2 linked regions of the Astyanax mexicanus genome follow. The protein of the gene in region 2 interacts with the protein of the main gene of each other region in a biochemical or structural test. Links are inferred from orthologs where the notes say so. Each region holds a gene or a part of one and is shown on either strand. Other genes may lie near its edges. The genes, in order: smyd3 and map3k2.

The links.
Region 1: the proteins of map3k2 (region 2) and smyd3 are reported together in a solved structure, tested with the Homo sapiens proteins (2 studies listed by BioGRID and IntAct, with this or other methods). The link is inferred for Astyanax mexicanus from reciprocal best matches to the Homo sapiens genes MAP3K2 and SMYD3.

What each region holds. Positions count from the first base shown.
Region 1 is NC_064421.1:69,135-82,189, reverse strand, and holds the start of smyd3 (histone-lysine N-methyltransferase SMYD3), read right to left. Parts: upstream 5,086-13,055; 5' UTR 5,041-5,085; coding exon 4,838-5,040; intron 1-4,837. Other genes in the region: efcab2 (dynein regulatory complex protein 8), read right to left, coding at 6,077-6,195, 7,217-7,283, 7,467-7,509, 7,810-7,889, 8,339-8,411, 8,511-8,589, 9,988-10,012. UniProt on the Homo sapiens protein: Histone methyltransferase. Specifically methylates 'Lys-4' of histone H3, inducing di- and tri-methylation, but not monomethylation. Also methylates 'Lys-5' of histone H4.
Region 2 is NC_064412.1:37,841,202-37,854,080, forward strand, and holds the start of map3k2 (mitogen-activated protein kinase kinase kinase 2), read right to left. Parts: upstream 5,234-12,879; 5' UTR 4,800-5,233; intron 3,638-4,799; 5' UTR 3,568-3,637; coding exon 3,564-3,567; intron 3,462-3,563; coding exon 3,343-3,461; intron 1,018-3,342; coding exon 977-1,017; intron 1-976. Other genes in the region: cytochrome P450 27C1, read right to left, coding at 10,325-10,441, 11,094-11,297, 11,456-11,534, 11,844-12,007. UniProt on the Homo sapiens protein: Component of a protein kinase signal transduction cascade. Regulates the JNK and ERK5 pathways by phosphorylating and activating MAP2K5 and MAP2K7. Plays a role in caveolae kiss-and-run dynamics.

The sequences.
Region 1 (13,055 bases), on a different chromosome or scaffold from region 2:
GTGGTATATCGATATGTATTAGAATCACGGACAGGCGTCTTTTACTGGCGTCAGCTCGCCGCAGAGCTCAACACAGCCCCCGTAGCTGGGCTACGTCAGTGCGTGATGACGTAACCACACAGGCACGTAGCCAAATAGGCTAGGCTAGGCAAGGCTAGGTTAAAATGGCTAGGCTCGGGTCCGCTTCGCTACGCAGCAAAAATGTCTCGTGCTGGAGCCAAACGGAGCCGGGACGAGCGGATCCAAGGCTAAGGTAGACTCGGTTCGGTCGGCCCCGGATCCTCGAGGCCGGCCGCGGGTCCGCTCGCTCGGCCGCGGGTCCGCTCGCTCGGCAGAGGGTCCTCGAGGCCGGCCGCGGGTCCGCTCGCTCGGCCGTGGGTCCTCGAGGGTGGCCGCGAGTCCGCTCGCTCGGCCGTGGGTCCGCTCGCTCGGCCGTGGGTCCTCGAGGGCGGCCGCGGTTCCGCTCCCTTGCCGCTTTGCTGCAAATTGTGCCGGAGAGTGCAGCCGACCAGCAGCGGTAATGTTAATACATCTAATCTGTTCCACCACTTCAAGCAACTCCACTACATACAATATTTTTCTTATACTGACTGAAGCACTTTTATAGCTTATGTTGTAACTAAGTTATTCATAGTTGATAAAGCCTATAGGTTTGTTTATTTGACGGGAAAATCTTGTTGCTTTTATGTATATAAAGGCTTCTGGTATTCTATATCCTAGTTGAAACACTTTTGTTTTAATCTGTTAAATTTGTTCACAAAGAATAAGAAGCTCGGCCTCTGTTTTAATTTAAAGTTATTTTTATTGGTAATAGTTATATAGGCTTATGTTTGACAGGGATGTCATGTTATTATTTTGCTATATGCAAATAATATTGAGCATTGATTTATTTTGACTACTTTTATTTCTAAAGTATTAAAGTTTTTGTGAAAGGAGGTTTCAAAGGCTTAAATTAAATTTTCAGACAGTAGTAGGTACAGATTTCCGACAGACAGACAGACAGACAGACAGACAGATAGATAGATAGATAGATAGATGTGCATATAATGAGGGTATCTGATGCCAGCCATACAAAAAGTGCAAATACACAGTTACATAATAATTTAAATTCGCAGTGCTGCAGGGATTGCAGGGCTTCTTAGCAGTTTTCTGAGGCCTTCAAAGTATTTATATCGATATCGAAATTATATCGTATCGACCGAAATTTAAGGAATATATCGTGATATAAATTTTGGCCATATCGTCCAGCACTAGGACAGAGTCTCCATATGAGGCCAAAAAGTTCAACGTTTTAAAAAAATCATGGTGCAGAGATGTAGAAATATAATGTCCCCATATGAGGACGCAGGGTCTCAAGAGGATAATGATTTAGATCAGAGAATATTCATGTGTTAGAATGATCCAGTTAAAGTCCTAAAGACCTAAATCTCATTGATCTTCTGTGGAGAGACATGAAAACTGCTGTTCACAGACCAACACTCTCCATCCAACCTGACTGATCTTCAGCTGATTTATAAAGAAGAATGGAGGAAACATCTCTACAGTCTCTAGATGATCAAAGCTTGTAGAGATAAACCCTAAAAGACATGCAGCTGTAACTGCAGAGAAATATGAATCTACTAAGTATTGATTTGGCCAACACAGAGAAACAGCACCACCCTGTGGCCAGAGTGGAGAAATACACTCACACAAACAGTACAGGGTACTGTAGATGTTTCTAATAAAGTGTAGGGTGCAGTGCATGCTTTAAGGTGTAGTGGGAAGGGTGTAGTTATTATGCTTTAGGGTGTAGGGTAGAGTGATTATGGTGTAGGGTGCAGGGTGCAGGGTGTAGTGATTATGGTGTAGGGTGCAGTGTAGGCTTTAGGGTGTAGTGTGTAGTGTTTAAGGTGATTATGCAGTAGAATTTAGGGTGTAGTCTGTAAGGTTTAGGGTGTAGTCTGTAAGGTTTAGGGTGTAGTCTGTAAGGTTAAGGATGCAGTGTAAGGTGTAGTGTAGGGTTTAGGGTGATTGTGCAGTAGGGTGTAAGGTTTAGAGTTTAGGGTGTAGGGTGCAGTCTGTAAGGTTTAGGGTGTAGGGTGCAGTCTGTACAGTTTAGGGTGTACGGTGCAGTCTGTACGGTTTAGAGTTTAGGGTGTAGGGTGCAGTGTGTAAGGTTTAGGGTGTAGGGTGCAGTGTGTAAGGTTTAGGGTGTAGGGTGCAGTCTGTACGGTTTAGGGTGTAGGGTGCAGTCTGTAAGGTTTAGGGTTTGGGGAGCAGTCTGTACGGTTTAGGGTGTAGGGTGCAGTCTGTACGGTTTAGAGTGTAGGGTGCAGTCTGTAAGGTTTAGGGTTTAGGGTGCAGTCTGTACGGTTTAGGGTGTAGGGTGCAGTCTGTACGGTTTAGGGTTTAGGGTGCAGTCTGTACGGTTTAGAGTGTAGGGTGCAGTCTGTAAGGTTTAGGGTTTAGGGTGCAGTCTGTACGGTTTAGGGTGTAGGGTGCAGTCTGTACGGTTTAGAGTGTAGGGTGCAGTCTGTAAGGTTTAGGGTTTAGGGTGCAGTCTGTACGGTTTAGGGTGTAGGGTGCAGTCTGTACGGTTTAGGGTTTAGGGTGTAGGGTGCAGTCTGTAAGGTTTAGGGTGTAGGGTGCAGTCTGTAAGGTTTAGGGTGTAGGGTGTAGGGTGCAGTCTGTACGGTTTATGGTGTAGGGTGCAGTCTGTAAGGTTTAGGGTGTGAGGTGCAGTCTGTAAGGTTTAGGGTTTAGGGTGTAGGGTGCAGTCTGTAAGGTTAAGGGTGTAGGGTGCAGTCTGTACGGTTTAGGGTGTAGGGTGCAGTCTGTAAGGTTTAGGGTTTAGGGTGTAGGGTGCAGTCTGTACGGTTTAGGGTGTAGGGTGCAGTGTGTAAGGTTTAGGGTGTAGGGTGCAGTCTGTAAGGTTTAGGGTGTAGGGTGCAGTGTGTAAGGTTTAGGGTGTAGGGTGCAGTCTGTAAGGTTTAGAGTGTAGGGTGCAGTCTATAAGGTTAAGGGTGTAGGGTGCAGTCTGTAAGGTTTAGGGTGTAGGGTGCAGTCTGTAAGGTTTAGGGTGTAGGGTGCAGTCTGTAAGGTTTAGGGTGTAGGGTGCAGTGTGTAAGGTTTAGGGTGCAGTCTGTAAGGTTTAGCGTGCAGTCTGTAAGGTTAAGGGTGTAGGGTGCAGTCTGTAAGGTTTAGGGTGTAGGGTGCAGTCTGTAAGGTTTAGGGTGTAGGGTGCAGTCTATAAGGTTTAGGGTGTAGGGTGCAGTGTGTAAGGTTTAGGGTGCAGTCTGTAAGGTTTAGCGTGCAGTCTGTAAGGTTAAGGGTGTAGGGTGCAGTCTGTAAGGTTTAGGGTTTAGGGTGTAGGGTGCAGTCTGTAAGGTTTAGGGTGTAGGGTGCAGTGTGTAAGGTTTAGGGTGTAGGGTGCAGTCTGTAAGGTTTAGGGTGTAGGGTGCAGTCTATAAGGTTAAGGGTGTAGGGTGCAGTCTGTAAGGTTTAGGGTTTAGGGTGTAGGGTGCAGTCTGTAAGGTTTATGGTGTAGGGTGCAGTGTGTAAGGTTTAGGGTGCAGTCTGTAAGGTTTAGGGTTTAGGGTGCAGTCTGTAAGGTTTATGGTGTAGGGTGCAGTGTGTAAGGTTTAGGGTGCAGTCTGTAAGGTTTAGAGTGTAGGGTGCAGTGTGTAAGGTTTAGGGTGTAGGGTGCAGTGTGTAAGGTTTAGGGTGTAGGGTGCAGCCTGTAAGGTTTAGGGTGTAGGGTGCAGTGTGTAAGGTTTAGGGTGTAGGGTGCAGTCTGTAAGGTTTAGGGTGTAGGGTGCAGTCTGTAAGGTTTAGGGTGTAGGGTGCAGTGTGTAAGGTTTAGGGTGTAGGGTGCAGTCTGTAAGGTTTAGGGTGTAGGGTGCAGTCTGTAAGGTTTAGGGTGTAGGGTGCAGTGTGTAAGGTTTAGGGTGTAGGGTGCAGTGTGTAAGGTTTAGGGTGTAGGGTGCAGTGTGTAAGGTTTAGGGTGTAGAGTGCAGTCTGTAAGGTTTAGGGTGTAGGGTGCAGTCTGTAAGGTTTAGGGTGTAGGGTGCAGTGTGTAAGGTTTAGGGTGTAGGGTGCAGTCTGTAAGGTTTATGGTGTAGGGTGCAGTCTGTAAGGTTTAGGGTGTAGGGTGCAGTCTGTAAGGTTTAGGGTGTAGGGTGCAGTCTGTAAGGTTTAGGGTGTAGGGTGCAGTCTGTAAGGTTTAGGGTGTAGGGTGCAGTGTGTAAGGTTTAGGGTGTAGGGTGCAGTGTGTAAAGTTTATGGTGTAGGGTGCAGTCTGTAAGGTTTAGGGTGTAGGGTGCAGCCTGTAAGGTTTAGGGTGTAGGGTGCAGTCTGTAAGGTTTAGGGTGTAGGGTGCAGTCTGTAAGGTTTAGGGTGTAGGGTGCAGTCTGTAAGGTTTATGGTGTAGGGTGCAGTCTGTAAGGTTTAGGGTGTAGGGTGCAGTGTGTAAGGTTTAGGGTGTAGGGTGCAGTGTGTAAGGTTTAGGGTGTAGGGTGCAGTCTGTAAGGTTTAGAGTGTAGGGTGCAGTCTGTAAGGTTTATGGTGTAGGGTGCAGTCTGTAAGGTTTAGGGTGTAGGGTGCAGTCTGTAAGGTTTATGGTGTAGGGTGCAGTCTGTAAGGTTTATGGTGTAGGGTGCAATCTGTAAGGTTTATGGTGTAGGGTGCAGTCTGTAAGGTTTAGGGTGTAGGGTGCAGTCTGTAAGGTTTAGGGTGTAGGGTGCAGTCTGTAAGGTTTAGGGTGTAGGGTGCAGTCTGTAAGGTTTAGGGTGTAGGGTGCAGTGTGTATACAGTAGAATGGCACTGTGGATGTTTGTGTGTGTGTGTGTAATAAACTCACGTGCGGAAGCAGTTGTGGCACGCGGACTGCAGGAAGTTCCGCGCGACGCAGAATGTAAAGGGCGCGCAGCTCTGCAGATCAATGGCATCGCCTCCTTCATTCTCTTTGATCTGTATCACCGCTCCGGCTTTAATCTCACCGACCGCGCGCAGCCCGTTTCCCGCCCGCACGCTTATAAACCTCTCAGCACGCGCCGCCATCATCAACTCTCACTGAAACTGCAGCCCTTCAAAATAAGAGTCCCTCCCATGTTTCTATTGGACTCATCAGTGCAGTTATGTTAGAATTGGATATCCTCTTTATTCTCTGTTTATTAATGAGCAAAATCATCACATACATAAAAACATTATCAGAATGATCTGTTTCTAAATTAACCTTTATTTTCCCCGCTGATGTTGAGTGAATGGGAGAGGAAGACACGCCCACTATGCAAATAATTGGTGAAATAAGCCCATGCCAAAGGTGTGAGTTTGAACTGCACACAAAGTGTGTTTTACTAAAGTAGCTCAGCTAAATCACTGAGAAATATTAATGTTAGAAAAAATAATAAATAATCCAACATTACTGACTAACAGCTAAACTATCATTAAATTAGCATTAAAGTTTATACAATTACAAATAAAGTTTATTTCCCAAAGATCTATAAAATCATAATAGTAATTTATATAAACAAACTTTATGTACAGAGCAGAAACCCTGAGGTTAAAGGCTGATAATCATAATCTCTATCTAAAATCACAAAAAAATATTTATTGATTATTATTTATAGTGTGTGATTGTGAATACAAATAAACACCTGGCCAATCAAAACGAGGTATAACAGCAACCAGCTGACAGATAACACTGTGGGAAAAGTTTCTGATTGGCTAGCTAGTGACATGTGACCATCATCTTTTTTACTAAAAAATAAGGCAATTAGTCAATACTACTACTACTTATAATAACAACAATAATAATAATAATAATAATAATAATAATAATAACTGATCTTTAATGTCAAGTTTTAACCTGTGTGTAAACATAAATATTTATTATAAATCAGATAAAAGTGGATTTAATTATTGTATTTAAATTTTGAATCTCTGTAAAAAAAAAAAAAAAGAAAACAGCGCAGAATTTATTTATTTATTTATTTATTAGTCACACATGAAATATTTAATGAGCTTTAATATAAATGGAATAAAGAAGTTTCCGATTATTAAAGCTGATGTAGCTCCGCCCCCTGTGGGCGGTCCCTCGTTACCACGGCTCATCGGCGGTCATCATGCTGACGAAATCCCTGTAGAAGATCAGATTCTTCTCGGGATCCAGAGCAGCAGAGAGCATCTCCTCCATCTCCTCCTGAGAGAACGGATCTCCTGCAGGAACACAATAAAGGTGCTTGCACACTGCACGCGGTAGATGCGGCGCGGTACGCTGACCCCCATAGGATTCAATAGTGTCTAGAGCGGTAGAGCGGTGCGTCGCTGCCGCGGAGCAGAGCGGAAAGCGGCGCGTTTCCACGCCCATAACCACGCCTCCACCGCGCTACCGCTTACCGCGGGCAAAGTTCAACATGGTTCAACTTTGACCTCGCGGCAAGCGGTACCTCGGCAGAAAACGCATGACGTGAACTCACGCGACTAGAGAGAAACTGTAGTCCAAACAACAATAAACGTGCGCGAGAGACTAATAATAGCGATTAGTGAATCCCCTCAGCTGTACATCACTTCCCTACACTCATATAGAGATAACAGGAGGAAGAGAAGAATCAGAGCTTTGTTCTGAGGCTGAGAAACATATACAGATCCACAGAGGCTGTAGAGACTCAAAACTACAAAACACCGCTCACAGAGGTGATGGGTTTTAGAAAACTCCGCCTATTATCAGCAGGAGACGCTTGGCGTCAGCAGCAGCGCAACGCACCCGCAACTGACCAGCGTAGAGCAGAGCGGCAGCACAGCGGAATGCCGCGCGGCATACCGCGTTCAGTGTGCAAGCACCTTTACACCACCCTCAGCTCCGCCCACAGCACCACCCTCAGCTCCGCCCACAGCACCACCCTCATCTCCGCCTACAACACCGCCCTCAGCCCCGCCCACAACCCCAGCCCCACCCAGAACACCACCCTCAGCCCCACCCAGAACATCACCCTCAGCCCCGCCCACAACACCACCCTCATCTGCTCCATCTCTTCCTGAGAGAAAGGATCTCCTGCAGAAACAGCAGCACATCCATCAGCCCCGACCACAGCCCCGCCCTCAGCACCACCCACAACACCACCCTCAGCTCTGAGACTCGAAACACAGTCAGGAATTTCTAATTAATCTTCAGTAAACTTTACATATCTGATGATGTCACCGGCAGTGGGAGGAGCTAAAGTCTAAGTGCTGGATTTACCTTCCTGTGTTAAATATCTGCTGAGCTCCTCCGGATCCAGGTGTCCTTTCTTCTGCTGATCCAGAACCTGAAACACATTTATATTATTTATTATTATTTAATTTAACAACCAGATTCGCTCTATAAACACCTTTAGCACACAGTCCTGATCTCCCTCCTGATCTCCTGCTCTACAGGATTCAGACTGTGTGCTTTTGCACCGCTGAAGTTAAATTAATATCTGAACAAGATGAACGTAAGAGTTTCTGACCTCAAACGCCTGAAGCAGAAGATCCTCAGGAACGGGACGTAACCTGACAGAACAAATCAGAACCTCCAATCAGAACCTCCGATCAGAACCTCCAATCAGAACCTCCGATCAGAACCTCCAATCAGAACCTCCGATCAGAACCTCCAATCAGAACCTCCAATCAGAACCTCCAATCAGAACTTCCGATGAGAACCTCCGATCAGAACCTCCGATCAGAACCTCCGATCAGAACTTCCGATGAGAACCTCCGATCAGAATTTCTGATCAGAACCTCCAATCAGAACTGGAGTTTGAAATAATTCAGATTAATCAGTTCAGTGTAAACGCAGTGATCAAGAGTTACTTGTTCTCCATCAGGATTCGGGACATGGTCGGCAGGAACTTCTCAAAACGGATGAAGCCCGCTGGCTCCTCCTCCTCGATCTGTAACAACATTTCCAGCACTGCTCATTAAACCAGTCTATAAACGAGTATATAAACCAGTTTATAAACCTCTATATAACCCAGTCTATAACATATGAGCCAGTCTATAACATATAAATTAGCATATAAACCAGTCTATAAATCAGTATATAAACCAGTATAGAAATCAATCTAAACCACAGTATACAAACCAGTCTATAACATATAAACAAGTCTAAAAACCAGTATATAAACCAGTCTATAACCAAGTAAATAAATCAGTATACAAACCAGTCTATAAACCTCTATATAACCCAGTCTATAAACATATATATAACCCAGTCTATAAACCAGTATATAAACCTGTCTGTAACCTATAAACCAGTATATAACTTAGTATATAAACCAGTATAAAAGACACAGCCGCAGATTTAATATAATATGTCTGAAATATGTAAATGAGCTCTGACCTCAGCGATGACGTCATGCAGTTCAGCTTCGGTGGGAAATCGACCGAGAGAACGAATAATCGTCCCGATCTCCCTAAAAACAAACAAACAAACAAATCGGATCAGATTCATTACAGAACCCGATCAGAACTCAGAACTCTACATCACTATAATCTGCAGAATCAGAACCAACCTGACGTCCACAGTTTGATTCTGTTCATGATCAAAAACATCAAACGCGCTCCGGATCTTCTTCTGGACCTCCGACACACCTGAACACAATCAGAACCTCCTGATCAGAACCTTCAGAACCTCCTGAACTCTTAACTGGGACTAATGAGAGGGAGTCCATCTCTCCTGTACAGGACTTCCTGTACCGACTGTCGGTCAATTTATAATTAAAGTTTTAACAGCGTCTCCATCAGACCATCATCTCCGACCTTCTGCATCCATATTCAACCCGACGAGTCCTAAAAATCAGCAGCTCTTAGAGACGCTTAAACTCCTGAACTGAAGTCAGAAGATTACAGAGCTTTAACTGTGGAATAATCTGCATCTCCCTCCATCACTGTTTTAATACTAATCTAAAATCGTACCTGTACTCTCAGGACTTTCAGTGTGTTCAGTTCTGAGTGTCTGGGGTTAATCTGAATCTTGTTTCCTGATGCTACTTTTTTATTTATCTTATATCTTATTTGTTGTTTAGTTTTATATATTTAATTGTTCGTACTTCTGTATTGTACAGTACTTTGGTTGGTATTTGTGGTTTTTAAATTAGAAATACATTTGACTTGACTATTATATATTATATTTTATATATTTTCAAATGTACTAGCATTTTAGCAACTGTATGTGATACAGCTAGGTGGCAGCAAACACACGCACTTTAGAAATTTGGATAGAGTGCCAATTATACAGTATATTACATTTTTACAATTAAATATACAGGAGAATCGACACTGTATTGTAAATATAAAGGAAGTGCGTGTGTTTGCTGCCACCTAGCTGTATCATACACCGTTGCTGAAATGCTAGTAAATTTGTAAATATATAAAATATAATATATAATAGAGTTATAATACAGGATTTGTATAATATTAATGGGTGTGAATTTTCCCCATGATTCAAAGTGAACACCCCCGTTATTTAGATGTGTAAATCCTATAGATTTGGAGCTGTTGGTGTTTTTTTTTCTTATCTGGGAACATTAATAGGTGATTTTATGCACTAAAAGTGATTTAGAGGTGAATAAATGAGTGTGTACAGATGTAGAGAGGGTATAGAATTAGATGCATTTTATTCTAAATGGTAAAGTGCTTTCAGTTTTTTTATATTAATACTAAAAGTGCGTTGGGTAACTCTTTACTGTTACAGAGCAGTGTTATAGTGTTCCAGTGTTGCCAGATTATTGATCTTGTCGCTGGATTTAGAGAATGATTTATTTATTTTTATTTTTAAACGTAAGTAAATGAATCAGAGGAACGTGGATGTGTTTAAACAGCGCTGTTTCTCCTACTTTCTCTGCATCAGGTCACTGAAATAAAAACGCGTTAATATCTGGCAACCCAGCAGAGCCGCGCTGACAGTGACGCCGCGGTTCGAGATTAATCGGTAATTGGATTAATTGATTAATCGGTTTAAAGAGTTAATAAAGAGAACCCGATGTTTACCTGCAAGCGCGCGCTCCTCCGCCATTCCACCGCGGATCTGGTTGCTTAGATACGGACGCGCTGCTGGTAGCTGGGTTGCCAGATAGTGCAACCCCCCCAAACTCCGCCCACTAAACTACAATCAGCTCTAAATTCTGCACAACACAGAAAAGACTGAGTTTTATATAAAATCTGATTATAAATTAGATTATAGATTAAAGTAATAATGCAACTGTTCTAATATAAATCTTATATTTAAATTAAGCTTAATGAAATATGAAATGTACAGCCAAAACATTAAGACCACCTCCCCCCAATGCAGCTCAGATTACAGAACTGTGCAGGAGAAATCTCCAGATCTCCAGAAGATCAACACTGGAGCTTCATTACATTACTGTACTTAATTACATTACAGTACTTTATTACATTACTGTACTTAATTACATTACAGTACTTTATTACATGACATTACTTCATCACTGTTAAATATTCCTGAGCTGCTGCTGTTCTGGGATCAGTGGTGGGATCAGATGTTTCAGGATGTGGAAGCTAAAGTTCTTTAAGCTCCACATTTCAGTAAAAGTACAGAAGTATTTAACATTATTTGTATTTCAATACTGGAGTAGTTTACAGTAAAATGTACTGAAGTACTGAGAGTAAAGTACAGTACTGTGTTCTGTATTTATTACAGAAATCGATGTTTATTAAAGACGTTAATTAAAAACATTAAAAAATAAAACCCGGACACTGCAGACTATAAATATATACATTTATCACAAAATTACCATTTTCATATCCAAATAAAATATAAATAAAGGTATGTGAGGGTCCGCAGGTCTGGTGCATTGTGGGTAGTGTAGGCGTTTATTCCTCCAGCAGGATCTCCACCTCCTCCATCGGCGCTCGGAGCCGGAGCTCCTTCTCCACCAGCAGATCCAAAAACTCCTGAACCCGATCCGGAAACAACCGCACCGCGTCCATATACACACACTGCACAAACGCACACACATACACACACATTATATATATATACATATATATAAATAACACACACACACACACACACCATATATACACATATATATAAATAAAACACACACACAATACATATATATATATATATATATATATATATATATATATATATATATATATATATATATATACATATAAATAACACACACACACACACACACAATACATATATATAAATAACACATACAAACACACACCATATAAATATACACACACTATACGTATATATAGAGAGGGACTCACTTTAGCCCAGGGGACGTTCTGTAGAGCTTTATAGAAGATTCCTCTTCCTCTCTCTGTGTCCCCGTTACACACCTGCACACACCCACCATCATCACCATCATCACCATCATCACCATTATCACCATAATCACCATAATCACCATCACCACCATCACCATAATCACCATCGCCATCATCGCCATTATCGCCATAATCACCATTATCACTATCATCACTATCATCACTATCATCACCATAATCACCATCATTACCATCATTACCATCATTACCATCATCCCATTATCACCATCATCACCATCATCACTATCATCACCATAATCACCATTATTAGCATTATCACCATCATCACCATCATCACCATAATCACCATAATCACCATTATTAGCATTATCACCATCATCACCATTATCCCATTATCGCCATCATCGCCATCATCACCATTATCCCATTATCACCATCATCGCCATCATCACCATTATCCCATTATCACCATCATCACCATCATCACCATTATCCCATTATCACCATAATCACCATAATCACCATAATCACCATCATCCCATTATCACCATAATCACCATCATCCCATTATCACCATCATCACCATCATCACCATAATCACCATTATTAGCATTATCACCATCATCACCATCATCACCATTATCCCATTATCACCATCATCGCCATCATCACCATTATCCCATTATCACCATCATCGCCATTATCCCATTATCACCATAATCACCATCATCCCATTATCACCATAATCACCATAATCACCATAATCACCATCATCCCATTATCACCATCATCACCATCATCACCATAATCACCATTATTAGCATTATCACCATCATCACCATCATCACCATTATCCCATTATCACCATAATCACCATCATCCCATTATCACTATAATCACCATAATCACCATCATCCCATTATCACCATCATCACCATCATCACCATCATCCCATTATCACCATAATCACCATTATTAGCATTATCACCATAATCACCATTATTAGCATTATCACCATCATCACCATCATCCCATTATCACCACAATCACCACAATCACCATCATCCCATTATCACCATAATCACCATAATCACCATAATCACCATCATCCCATTATCACCATAATCACCATCACCACCATCACCATAATCACCATCGCCATCATCGCCATTATCGCCATAATCACTATCATCACTATCATCACCATAATCACCATCATTACCATTATCCCCATAATCACCATCATCCCATTATCACCATCATCACCATCATCACCATCATCCCATTATCACCATCATCCCATTATCACCATAATCACCATAATCAACATCACCATCACCACCATCATCACCATAGCCATCATCGCCATTATCACCATTATCACCATCATCACTATCATCACTATCATCACCATAATCACCATAATCACCATCGCCATTATCACTATCATCACTATCATCACCATAATCACCATCATTACCATTATCCCCATAATCGCCATAATCACCATCATCCCATTATCACCATCATCACCATCATCACCATCATCACTATCATCCCATTATCACCATAATCACCATAATCACCATCATCACCATTATTACCATCATCACCATCATCACCATCATCACCATAATCACCATAATCACCATTCATCACCATTATCACCATCATCACCATAATCACCAACATCTTCATCCCCGTCCCTGAAACCCATACACTTTAGGGTTAACAGACAAAAGAGGGAAAGATGTTTTACCATAAAGTTCATGTACATCCTCCACAGCAGG
Region 2 (12,879 bases):
TGGAGTGCATTATTAGTATCATGACATTCTAGACCATTGACTTTTGTCAAAAATCTGATAAAATTCTTCTTCCAATATCTCAATTAGGGGTGTGCAGTATGTATGCAATAACAATATATATATTTTTATTTAGTTGCAGTAATGTATTCTTGAAATCAGTTCAGTGTTTTTTTATATTGCCAAGAGTATCGTTTTCGCCAAAATACCATGAAATATCGTGATCGTATCCCACCCCTACTTCCCACAGTCCCATTTCCACACCTTAAGCTGCCTGGTATAGAACAACAGCATGCAAACAATGTGCTGCAGTCATGGAAATAGGGGAATTGTCTATTTTTCTCCTAAACAGCTAATCACCGAGCTTCAGTAAGGTTTGCCAACCAAGCTAACAGAGTCATATAAAATCAGTTAGTTCATAATGTGCAATCAATAAAAACATTGAAGTGTAATATATATATATATATATATATATATATTCACGAAGAGGTAGAACACGTCATCGCTTGCCAGTGTGTGTCAATCTGGGAAACACCATAAGCTTCGTGTCTGGTGAGGGCTGGGTGCGCAAAAAGCTCTCTCCAGTGTTTTGAAATTGGACTGCTGTAGCCATTTCACAAGCTTGTTCTCATTTAATACATTAGTAGACTGTTCCTTTAAACAAAGGAAATTCAGTCTGTCATGAACTTAGATGCTGCTGTGTCTGCATCCATTGTTTTATATTAAAAGTCCTCTGCAGGGGTTTGTGATTGCATGGGCCACCACTAAAGAATACGTTCTAAATGTTTCATTTTGTACAGTTAGAGGCGAAAACAATCATATCAGTGCATTACAGGAAATAATAATTTTCCAGCATTTCAGGAATGTCTCTCCAGGCTTCAAAAACTTTATGAATTCATTGCATGTCCCGCAGTCAGATTCCTTTCTATTACAAATTAATCTAAGTAACAGTCATGCTTTTAAAAGTTGAAACCATTACCTCTTCTCTCCCCTGTACTCGAACTTTACTCGAACATCGTTCTGCAAGAAAGAAAGTGAGATTAACACGGTCCAAAACTTAGCATTACATCAACTGATGATTGTCACTGTGGACCCTAAATGACAATATTGTTTAAAGGCATGGAAACAAAAGCTTTATTCTGATACTTCTATACCTGTCTTTAATCATTTTTCCTAAACTAAATAGGAAACACATTCAATCATATGAAAAGCTGAAAGATTTCAAAGAAAAACTCAAAATGACCTGACCTGCATGTTTCATTGTTGCACAGTTACAGTTCATTTTTCATAATTAAAGAATAAAATTAACCAAAAAAAATTAAATAATTAAAATTAACCAAAAAAAGCACATACTATACAGCACATACAAGTTTTGCAGTGCCTTGCCGTAAAATTAACTAGATCTCTTATTTCTTTGATATTCCTTTAATAAAATCCATATTTTCTGTGTTTCAGCCCATTTGTGAAGCATAATTATATGAATGAATCTGAAACTTTTCTCCAGAAGTATGTTAGTGGCTCTCCAATGATGGCAATTATGTTTGGAAAATGACAACCATACAGAAAGAGCCAATAGTTTTTTTGAATGTCAGATAATGAACAGAAATGGTGTACGTAAAATGCACAGAAAAAAAATCTGTATTTGGCTGTATATATAAACACACATTTCCTGCCTGTATCTGAACAACCACAACAGTTGGGAAATCATTTGAGGCCAGGTTCCTAAAAACAACATACATCCTCCTATTATACATTAATCCTCGGATAACTGCAAAAAAAGTTTTAGGAGGTCATCGTGAAGCTTATTATTATACCTTTCAGAAGCAGAGATTAAATAAACAAATAACTAAACTTATAAGTTTTCTAACACTTCAGCGCACTGCATCAGCACTGTGTAAAATTGTTGCTTTTCGATACTGAATTTAATGGCTTTTAAATTTCCAAACAACCAATCTACAAGCAAAAGCCCTAGTTAAAGCTGGCAAAATTGTAAAATGTAACTTGACTTTTCACCACAACTTTTCCTGTTCTAACATCTGCAAAAACTAACGTGACACAAAAAAAAGCAAACGATGATCCGCATTATGCTAAAAGCTAACACTAGCCAACGCAATAGCCTTTTACCATCTCTTCCAGTTACCTGTGTCCACTCGCTCATAAACAGACAAGATGTCCTCAGCTAAACCAAGTAAAGGTACATTTCAGCTTATTATTTACTGGTAAAAACAAAAAGCCAACAGCACCACTAGCCCGCAAAACAAAATAAATAATTACAGTGTTGTTGTTACTGTGTAAAAACTATGCTACACTACAGAAGATCTGTAAGCTTTCACAATGCCACAAACCAGTAGTAAAATCTGTGTTATTTTTGTTTTTAAAGCCACCTGTAACCATCAGCTTTTAATTCTGATGTTAAATACCAGGGTGGTAAATAAGCTGGTAAGACCAAATCTGAACATTATGCACCCCAATAAAGTCACATGATTACCATCTGTACATGAAAAAAAAATTAGCCTAGACATGTGTTTAGACATTCAGCATTTCTAATGTAGCAACATAATTGTAACATCTGTATTATGTCGATGTCCTGCAGTCTTATACCCAGAATCTATATAGAAGTACAATGTACAATAGGGCTGGGCAATATATTGTCAATATCAATACACTTAAAATAATTTCCCACAAGCAATTTATTTCCAATTAAAATCTTACATGGGTGGTGTCTGGTGAAATCGAATAGTTTCAGGAGAAATGACAGACAATGAGCGGACATCATTATCCCATAAAACTGAGTAACAACAGCATTGTCATTATTTCTGTGCTAAAAATATACTACACTACAGAAGATTTGTGGGCCATCACAATGCCATAAACCAGCCAATAAAAGCTTTTTTTGCAAATGGCTCTGTTATTATTGATAGTCTGATGTAAAATAATAGGGTGGAAAACAAGCTGGTAGGACCACATCTAAACATTATGCACCCAGCCAAAGCCGCAGGCTTACCATTTGTGCATAAAAAAAACCACCTACAAATACTCTATGTGCATTTTCCAGCATTTTTACTACCAATAAATGTTTGTCCAATCATCCAGTGCAGTCTTCTAAATAAGTGAAATACTGAGATAAATATTTAGATATTTACTATTTAAATACATCATACATTTTATTTATGGTGTTACAAATAAATGTGGATACTTTAACATTTCACTTTTAGATTTCATCATATCATATCTCGTCATTTCCCTGCAACATGTTGAGATAAGAGTTTTTTTAGTCATATCGCCCAACCCTTATTTACAAGTTTACATGAGTCAATGTTGGAGGATCAGACTAAGATATCAGACCTGGTTCTTGGGAGACGAAGCCTTGGGTTTGCCCAGGTCAGACAGAGACATGGCTGGCCGGCTAGAGCGATGCAGCTCAACCAAGTCCTGCATGATCGAGTTTAGAACCTCTTGCTCGTCTGTCAGGACATATGGGTTTAAAACAGGTTTAAAACATGGACCATGTATAAGAATTTATAAAACCTTTGTACATCTTTTATCAGGAGACATAGGTTACATACCCATGATAACTGCTCACAGTCGGCCCCAGGAGTTCAGGATAGAGGATATCTCCCATTAAATGGGTTCCTTTCTCCTGTACATAGATATCACAACTATTTTGAGTGGGTGTCATTCATGTAGGCATTTCCTTTACATACAAACAACAATTGACAAAATACCATCTAACATCATAATCGTAATAATAAAATAATACTGTTACACAAACTGCATTTAAAAGTACAATAGTAAAGTAAATCACACATCGATCTCAGATATCATCACATTGGGGGGAAACTGGTGCTACTGGCGGGTCTGTCAGCTGTCAAAATCTGCTCTACCAATGATAGCTGGCTAGCTAGCTAGCTAACCTAGCAAGCTTGTTAGCTAGCTATAGTTTACTGTTTCAACATACAACAAACACAGTGTGTGTAGGCAGTGTGTGCGCTCACATAGCTAACCACTTATCTTCATTAGATAACGAGGCCACAAGATTCCTGATAACAATGGAAATAGTGTTTTACAAGCGGTCAAAATGGGGCTTATCAAAAAACATCTTCAGCAGTTGGAGGATGATGATGAAGAGAGCTAGCTAGCACGTCCGCTTTGCTTATAAGCTAACTAGCTAAACATTACTGCGGGTGAAAAACCAGCTGTTTTGGATATTTGTCTTTAACATAATAAAGACTGAAGCATTTTACATAGTATTTAATGGGACATATGCACACGACAATACAGGGGCCAACATGACATTATCTCGTTATTAGATAGGTTAGCTAAGTTAGCTAGCTAACAACAAGATTAGCTCGCTACACTGAAGGCGCGCTAGCCATACTGTCTATCTAGCTAGCTAGCTAATTAGCTGTTAGTTAGCTTAGTTAGCTAGACAGTCTGCTAGGTACCTTCCAAACTATTTAATTAGATAATAGAGCTGGCTAACCTTGTACGTTATAGTTATATTAAGACCAAGGAGAGACAGCTAACTAACTATCCAATTTGTGCAAATATAGCTAGCTAGGTTAGCTAACTATCTCACATTTAGAGCTAGAATGCCAGCACACAAACCTTCGTTCACTTCGCTGCTATTTTATATATGCTAACTTTTAGCTACTTGGCTAGCTAGCTAACATAAGCAGTGTCTGACAGGAGAATTTATTGCTAATAGACATCGACTGACAGCTAAAAGCCTTCAGAATCTAATAACTAGGATAAATAATCAATAACAGCAGAAAATAAGAGCTATTTGTCCTATTTCTCACCTGGGTGGTTCGTGTATCTTCACTTCCTCATCCGAAGGCCTTGGGAAGTGGGGGCCCTGCCCGACTTTAAGAACCTCCAAACCCGGCTTAAGAAGTTGTAAAGTCCGCATACAACTGCAACTTCAGTCCGAGGCCCCAGAGCACTAGCTCAGCTCCGCTAACCGCCGCCACTGCCGCCGCTGTCGATGCGCTACAGGCCGAGCGATTAATCACCGAACTCGCTTCACATTCAGGCCAAAAGCGTCGTATCCGCGAGGCCGTGCCGCAAATACAGACACACAGATAACCGTTTAACGGCGTGGTTTTGTTCATATGTAGAAACCGCAGGTATCAAACACGGCTCGACTGAAGACTAATCCCGGAGCGCCGCTCTCTCCCCCCCGCGCCGAGCCGCCGATGGACCAGTCCGATCCGCTACACACGATCAGCCTGTCAGAGAGACCTGCACTCTGTCTACAGTACGGAGACCACAGCAGGACACGGGGCTCAGAGTATGTATTTATTTACTGGGTCTGGAAGGCTACTGTTTTAATGCGATTTAATATTTAAAAAATGGAATAATCGAGATTGTACATCTTGACTTAGAACCTACTAGAGGGAATCTCAGAATATAGACAAGTTCTTCTGTCAGAAACCTGTAAACACCTCTTTTAAGTGGCAGTGATTTTCATATTTTTCATATTTTTCCACAAAAAAAAAAAAAAAAAAAACTAAATTAAATGTAAAAGAAAACAATAGCTTTACTTTAAATTATGCTGTCTGTTTCCAAATAAAAAACTGAAGGTGACCACATGGTCGAATCCTGATTATGTAACTTGCCATCAGCTGCCAGAGCAGGGTAGATGGGTGATGTTGATCAGCACAAGGCATCTGTGAGCTGATGTATCAGAACCGTGTTGCTGCGCTTTCCTCCGAGAACGCTGACGACTCTGCTTTGCTACATCAGCAGCAGTATGAAAAGATGCAGTGATTAGCTTCACATGTATCGGAGGAGGCATGTGCTAGCCTTCACCCTCCTGGTGTTGTGGCATGACTGTGATTGGGGATATACAGCTGACTAGCAGCTGAATAGGGGAAATGACTGGCCTATCTAAAATTGGGAGAACAATGGGAGAAAAGACTCAGCTTTTCAAAATAGGTTTTAAATGTGAATAAAAGAATCAGTATTAGAAACACTTAGATTTTTAATATTGATGCCAGTCACTTAAAAATAATTGTATTATTCACAACAGTATTATCCATGATTAACAATGGCTGAATCATGGATAAAATCATGATTTAATTTTTTAAAATGCTGGTACTTAATTGTATTTTTTGGACAAAAATAACTGTGTAATGTGGTTTACACCTGATAGACTAGATTTATTTTACTGGATTATAATATCTCAGGGTAGTTGTGGTGCTTTTTAAACAAAATTAATGTATTGAGTTTAAATGAGCGTTTTTGTGGAGGAAATAAATGCTAGATTAGCTGCATATTCCACACTCACCAGCTTGAAAAGAGGAAACGTGCCATCAGCTGTGTGTGTGTGACCACAGTAGTGTGTGAGAAATAGAGAGAGAGATAGAGAGTATCAACATCAGCACAAATAAAAGGGTAATCTACCTTCTGAACTCAACAGAAAGCTTTGCTGTGTTATATCTCTAAATAAAACTGCTAGTGCGTCATCAGGCTCTATCACATTTTGTCACAAGATTAATTATATGCTTTAAAAAAAAGTACGCATTACAGTTTCCAGACTAACTGTGTTTTAAGTGTGTTAATGCCAGACATCCCAAGTTGCAAAAGTTGATTTCAGGGAGGTTACCCTACTACCTTCAAAAAAAAACTTCACTTTTATATTAATTAATTTTTTTTATTTTATTTTATTAAATTTAGAGTATTCAGAGGTGAAATTAGTTTTATCTTTTTTTCTTTTTGGAAGGCCCTGCCTCTACTTTCCTTTTTTTTTTTTTTTTTTTGAAAAAAGGCCTTTATTTGACAAAAATGTACAGTTACAATATCACAAAAAATTGCACAACATCAAAAACATTTCATATCATATTACAACAATTATTAATATTGCCTCTGCCATGATCTGCTTTCTCTCACTCTCTGAACAAATCCCGTCCGGGAGGGGGGAAAAACACTGCCCGCCCACACTCAAACCTGATTGGCTGTCTCACAGACTCTTTGCAGAGAACAGGCCAATCAGAATCCTCTCTGTCTTCTTTCTGTCCTTCCCACACGCGATTAGAGAAAAAAAGTCTGTCGCCTGTGTGCGCGTTTGCGTGCAGTGCGCGTTTGGGGCACTCGTTCTGAATTGCGGGAGATTATATGTGACTCGCGGGCATCAGGGAGCCACTACCGAAATGCGGGAGACTCCCGCAGCTTTAGGGAGACTTGGTTTGTCTGTAATGCTGACAGCCCTAATTTATAAACATATTTTTTAATGTAAATAAATGGGTGGATGACTAGTAAAAATTCAAAATTCAAGCAAATAATCAAACTTAATAAATAATAAAATAAATAATCTAAATAAATAAATAAATAGATTAGAAAATAAGGTAGAATGCATTAACCCTGTAAAAAGTGCTTAACTCCAGTATACAGTCAAGGGTGTCTTGCTTGGTCAAAATGTACAGTATTAAAATAAATATGGCTGAATCTAAATGATTATTTGTATTAAATTCAAATTTAAAGTACATTTTCAATGTTTAGATGGGAAGAGAGGGTCATTGTGGGTTTCGTTGAAATTGGTGACTAGTGAACCTAAATAAATACAAAATAAATGCATAAAAATGCTATATATAAGAATGTTGTCCTTTTTGGACAAGCATGCTTGTTAGCCTGATCATTTTCATGATTTCCCTTTAATCATTAGTTGTTTAGATCAGCGATTTTTGTTAAATATATTAAATATCATAGCAGACGAACACAGTGATATTTCAAAAGTGAAATGAATTTTATAGGATTTAGAATAAGTGTGCAATAATTCTTTTTGCAAAATTAGGCAGGTGCATAAATTTGGGCACCCTTGTTGTTTTATTGATTTGAATACCTTTAACACTAATTATTGGAACACAAAAATTGTTTGGTAAGCTCATTGACTCTTGACCTAAATACACAAGTGAATCCAATTATAAGAAAGGTTTAAGGGGCTAATTGCAAGCTTTTCTCCTCTTTGCATCTTCTCTGAAGTGCGGCAATATGGGAGCCTCAAAACAAAACTCTCAAATGACCTGAAAACAAAGATGGTTCAACATCAGGGTTTAGGGGAAAGATTTTAGGTGTCAGTTCTAGTTATGAATCGAAGTGACAGACCAAGAAAATTCTGAGATGAGCAGAGGCGAAGGATGGTGAGAACAGTCAGTCAACCCACAGACATCCAGAGCTCCAAAAACCTACTTCATCATCTTTCTGCAGATGCTGTCACTGTGCATTGTTCAACTATTCAGTGCACTTTGCAGAAGGAGAGGTTGTATGGGAGAGAAATGCAGAAGAAGCTTTTCCTGAGCATGCACCACAAAGTTGGAGTTATTTGGCTGTGTAGTCAGTGCAGGTACTGTGAATCTTGTTAAAGTTGAGGGTCGCATTGATTCCAGTCAATATTAGCAGATTCTTGAAAACAATGTTCAAGAATCAATGACGAAGTTGAAGCTCAAAATCTACTAAAGCATTCACTTTCTCTATTTGCAAACCGTCTGTCTTACCATGGACACATGAACATCAAGGCTTTTAGAGATACTTCTGTAACCCTTTCCAGCTTCATACAAGTCAATAATTATACAACGTAGGTCTTCTGAGAGCTCTTTTGTGCTGAGAGGCATGATTCAAATCAAGCAATGCTTCTTAAGAACAGTAAACTCAAAACTGGTGTGTGCGTTTTTATTGGGCAGGGCAGCTTTAACCAACACATCCAATCTCATCACATTCACATCTGGCTCCAATTAGCTCTTAGAAAAGTCATTAGCCTAGGGGTTCACATACTTTTCCCCATCACTGTAAATGTTAACATGTTGTGTTCAGTAAAAATATGCAAACTTACATTTTTTGTGTGCTATTAGTTTAAGCAGACTGTGTTTGTCTGTTGTTGTAACTTAGATGAAGATCAGAACCCCTTTAATGACCAATTTATGCAGAAATCAAAGTAATTCCAAAGAGTTTACATGTTTTACTTGCAACTGTATAAGAGTGTTTAGTGTTTGAGATATGAGTGTATGACATTTTATTTAAACACAATGAAATAAAGAAATAAAAAGGCTGTAGAACTTGAAGCCATGTTAGAAACAGTCACCTTTATTATATTTTGTTTGTATAACAAAACTAAACTGTACTGCATGAATGAATAAAGAACAATGTAACACTATTAGCATGGATTTGTGTCACTTCAGTCAATGAATTTGATATAAAAACACTTTGAACATGATCAAATCAAAGCAATCCAGACTGTTCTCATACAGAGTTCCCCAATGGTGGAACAAACTACCTTCCACTACCAGATCAGGAGAATCTCTCACTATCTTTAAGAGACTCCTGAAGACAGAGCTCTTCAAATAGCACTTACTCTCTTAACACCTCTAACACACTAACTACTTCTAACCTCATTTCCTTCTTCCCCTCCTTCACTCCTCTATCCTATTATTCCCCTTTGACCTCCTTTTATCCCTATCCAAAGATGTTTTACCTTTAAACTCTTTTTACATTGTACTTGACTATTGTAAGTCGCTTTGGACAAAAGCGTCTGCCAAATGTAATGTAATGTAATGTAATGTAATGTAAAAATATATTTCAACAATACAATTAGGCACTAATTACACATTCAGTACTTCATGAGAAGTAAAAAACAATTAGTAAAGTTCAGTTAATCTGCAGACTTTTCTAAAGTAAAAAAGCAATATATCTTAGTATGTAATACAGACTTATTTATTTATAAAAGTGGTAGTGTTACATCACAACTATGCACAGTAGTACAAAACATCTTTTAAATCACATGAAAATGATAAATGAAAAAGTTGAAAATCACATTAGATATTTTAGATTCTCAAGAGCATTTTTTTTCAATATTGGTCCCTTGTAGACCCCACTCCAAACCCCTCTTTCCAATGCTTTACTAACACTGCTTGTAAAATCAAAAGGACAGTATATGCCATTTTTACATATATAGGTGAATTTGCATTAGTCATCAAAAATAGTATTTTCTTGAAATATTACGCTTGGGGAAAAACAATATAAAATGTAACATTTTAAACATAATTAATTCAACAATTGTAAGTATCATAAGGCTTTGTCCATCAGGCAGATTTAAGCCATTTAACTCACCACTCAGACTCAAAAGTGAGCCCCCCAAAAAAAGGCAACAAGAAAAAGGCACAGAGGCACAGTCCAAACTAGATCATACCCACATTAGTGGCTTGATCAGCGATAAGAAAATTGGTTTGGGAAGATTATTTTTAACTGGACATGAAAAGTGCAATCTAACATTCTCAATGCTTTAATACAAACACTACATTAAAATACATATGTACACATTCAAGGCAGGGGTCTACACACGGTCAACAAACTTGAGGTTGATTGATGATCCAGGACACAGCAGGCCATGGGTTTTGGCTCGGACATCACCGGTGAGTGGAGACACCTCGATGCGAAACTTCTGAAGGAGCTGCAAATAACAAAGGGGAGGAGTTAGTGACCACAAATACCTTAAACACATTTTATAGGTGTATGGAAAAGTGCAGTCTGCTTTACTAAGCTGTAAAATCAGACAGAGGCTGCTCTATAAAGCTTTAAAAGGGGCTGTTTTTAAATACATTTCATCCTGCAGCGGTGAGATTGTGCTGATTCAGGCTAGGTTTGTATGATTTTTTTGTTGTTGTAATTGAAAGCATCACAGGAAAGGGTTTGAATGTATGATTATGTGATTATGTGCTCTGAGTTATAAAACTAGCTCCTGTGTGTTTTTTCTTCTACAGGATCCAACCAATTTAACAACACATATGCTGGGATTAAAATGTTTTACATTCCATATAACTAGTTCTGAAACAATTTATATGCAATTTGTGTTACATCATAATTTTAACCTTAAAATATTTAGTCATGTGCTCAATCATGTTGGTTTTAATTAATCTTAGTGAGATAATTTAAATTCATTTGTAACTTTTTCAGCCAAAATTTTTTTAACTGTAGTCTGTTGCATAGTTGATTTAATCTCTGCTATGGTATAAAAGTCACAGTATTGGATTACCAAACAAAAAAAAAAAAACAAGCAGGTTCTGTCTCTGTGTTCAAACACACTCACACACACACACACTCACCTGGGTAAGACTCAAGTGCATCTCAAGTTCTGCTATTCTTCTGCCAACGCAGCTCCGGATGCCGTAGCCGAACGGGATGGAGCCGAAGTTGTCCACCCGATCCAAAGCGTCTTTCCGGAGCCAGCGGTCTGGACGGAATTCTTCTGCACTGGGGAAGTTTTCCTCATCCATAGAGGTGGAGTAATGACAAAGAGCCAATTGTGTCTGAGAGAGTAACAAAGAACAGAGCAGTGTTACAGTAGATCTTCACTCTGCAGCTAAAATCAATCAGCATTCGCCTTTTACTCCAGACTCCTGATCTGGCACATCAAAGCATTCTGAGACAAACTTATAGAAAAAAGACACACAGTGTCTAATCTTACCCCTTTAGGGATAAAGTAACCACCCACGATGAGGTCATCCTGTGTGACACGGCCATTGCCAGGAAGAACAGGGAAAAGCCTGCAGGTAAAGACAGAGAGTTATTTTATTAAAATGTTAAAATATAGAGAGCAATTACATCCAACAAACCCAGCCCACTATACATTAAATACACATTAATATACTATACATTGCAGGGAAGGGTTTTTTTGTGGACTCATAACCTAGGAGGCTTTAAAAAAAAGAAAATAAAGAAAAAAAAAAGGAAGGAAGCTAAATGCCATGTATTATTTATCTACAGCAACAAATTACTACTGTGTTTACACCGCTGCTGTAAATACAAAATCATGTTATGAGCACCCCCTCATGGACAGCTGAACACATGCATACCTAAGGGTTTCTTTGACCAGTCCTCTTATGAGTGGCAGCTGAGAAATATCATCAGCATGTGGGACCCGCCCACCCAGCACCTGGGTGATTTCCTCATAGATCTCCTGTTGCACTGTGGGATGTTTGGCCAGCAGGTATGTTGCCCATGATAACGTGAAGGAGGTCTGAAAAAAGGAGTAAACAAAAGATGGTTAATCTAAAAATGCTTTGATATACATATTAACTTAATCAAAATTAGTCAAAATCAAAATCAGTATACAGCTCTGTAAAAAAAAAAAAAAAAAAAAAAAAAAAAAAAGAGACCACTTGAAAATAAAAAATGATGAGTTTCATCAAACCAAGCTGAACTGCTTGAATTTGTGCCCCAGGAGTGGCATAAAGTTATTCAAAAACAGTGTGGACTGTTGGAGGAGCACATGCCAAGATGCATGAAAACTGTGATTAAAAAAACAAAAAAACGATTTCTCAACTTTTCTTTGCATTATTTGAGGTCCTAAAGCTCTGCACCTTTTTTTATTTCAGCCATTTCTCATTTTCTGTAAATAAATGCTCTAAATTACTATATTTTTATTTGGAATTTGGGAGAAATGTTGTTCGTAGTTTATAGAATAAAACAACAATGTTCATTTTACTTAAACATATACCTATAAACAGCTAAACCTTCAGAAGCTGAAGAGGTCTCTTAATTTTAACCAGAGCTGTACAAAACTAACTACATCAGGTGTGCAAACAGCCCAACAATTCAATTTAGCTTTATACCTTAAAACAAAAGTTGTGCCCTGACTAATAATATTATTAATGTTTTGGACTCAATCTTTATGAGGTAGTCCGAATTAAATCTCCTAATTTTTCTTAAGAGATACAATAGGGTAAAAAAAAAAAAGGACAGAAAGCTCTCCGTGGGGAGTTGAATGTTTCGGCCCCTTGCTGTGATTTGACCACTTGGGAAGAGTTCACAAGAAGTTCAAATAAGAAGGCTCTCCCCTTCTAACAAAGTCTCATTCACCCTCCTTCACTGCTGGAGAGCAAGAAGGTT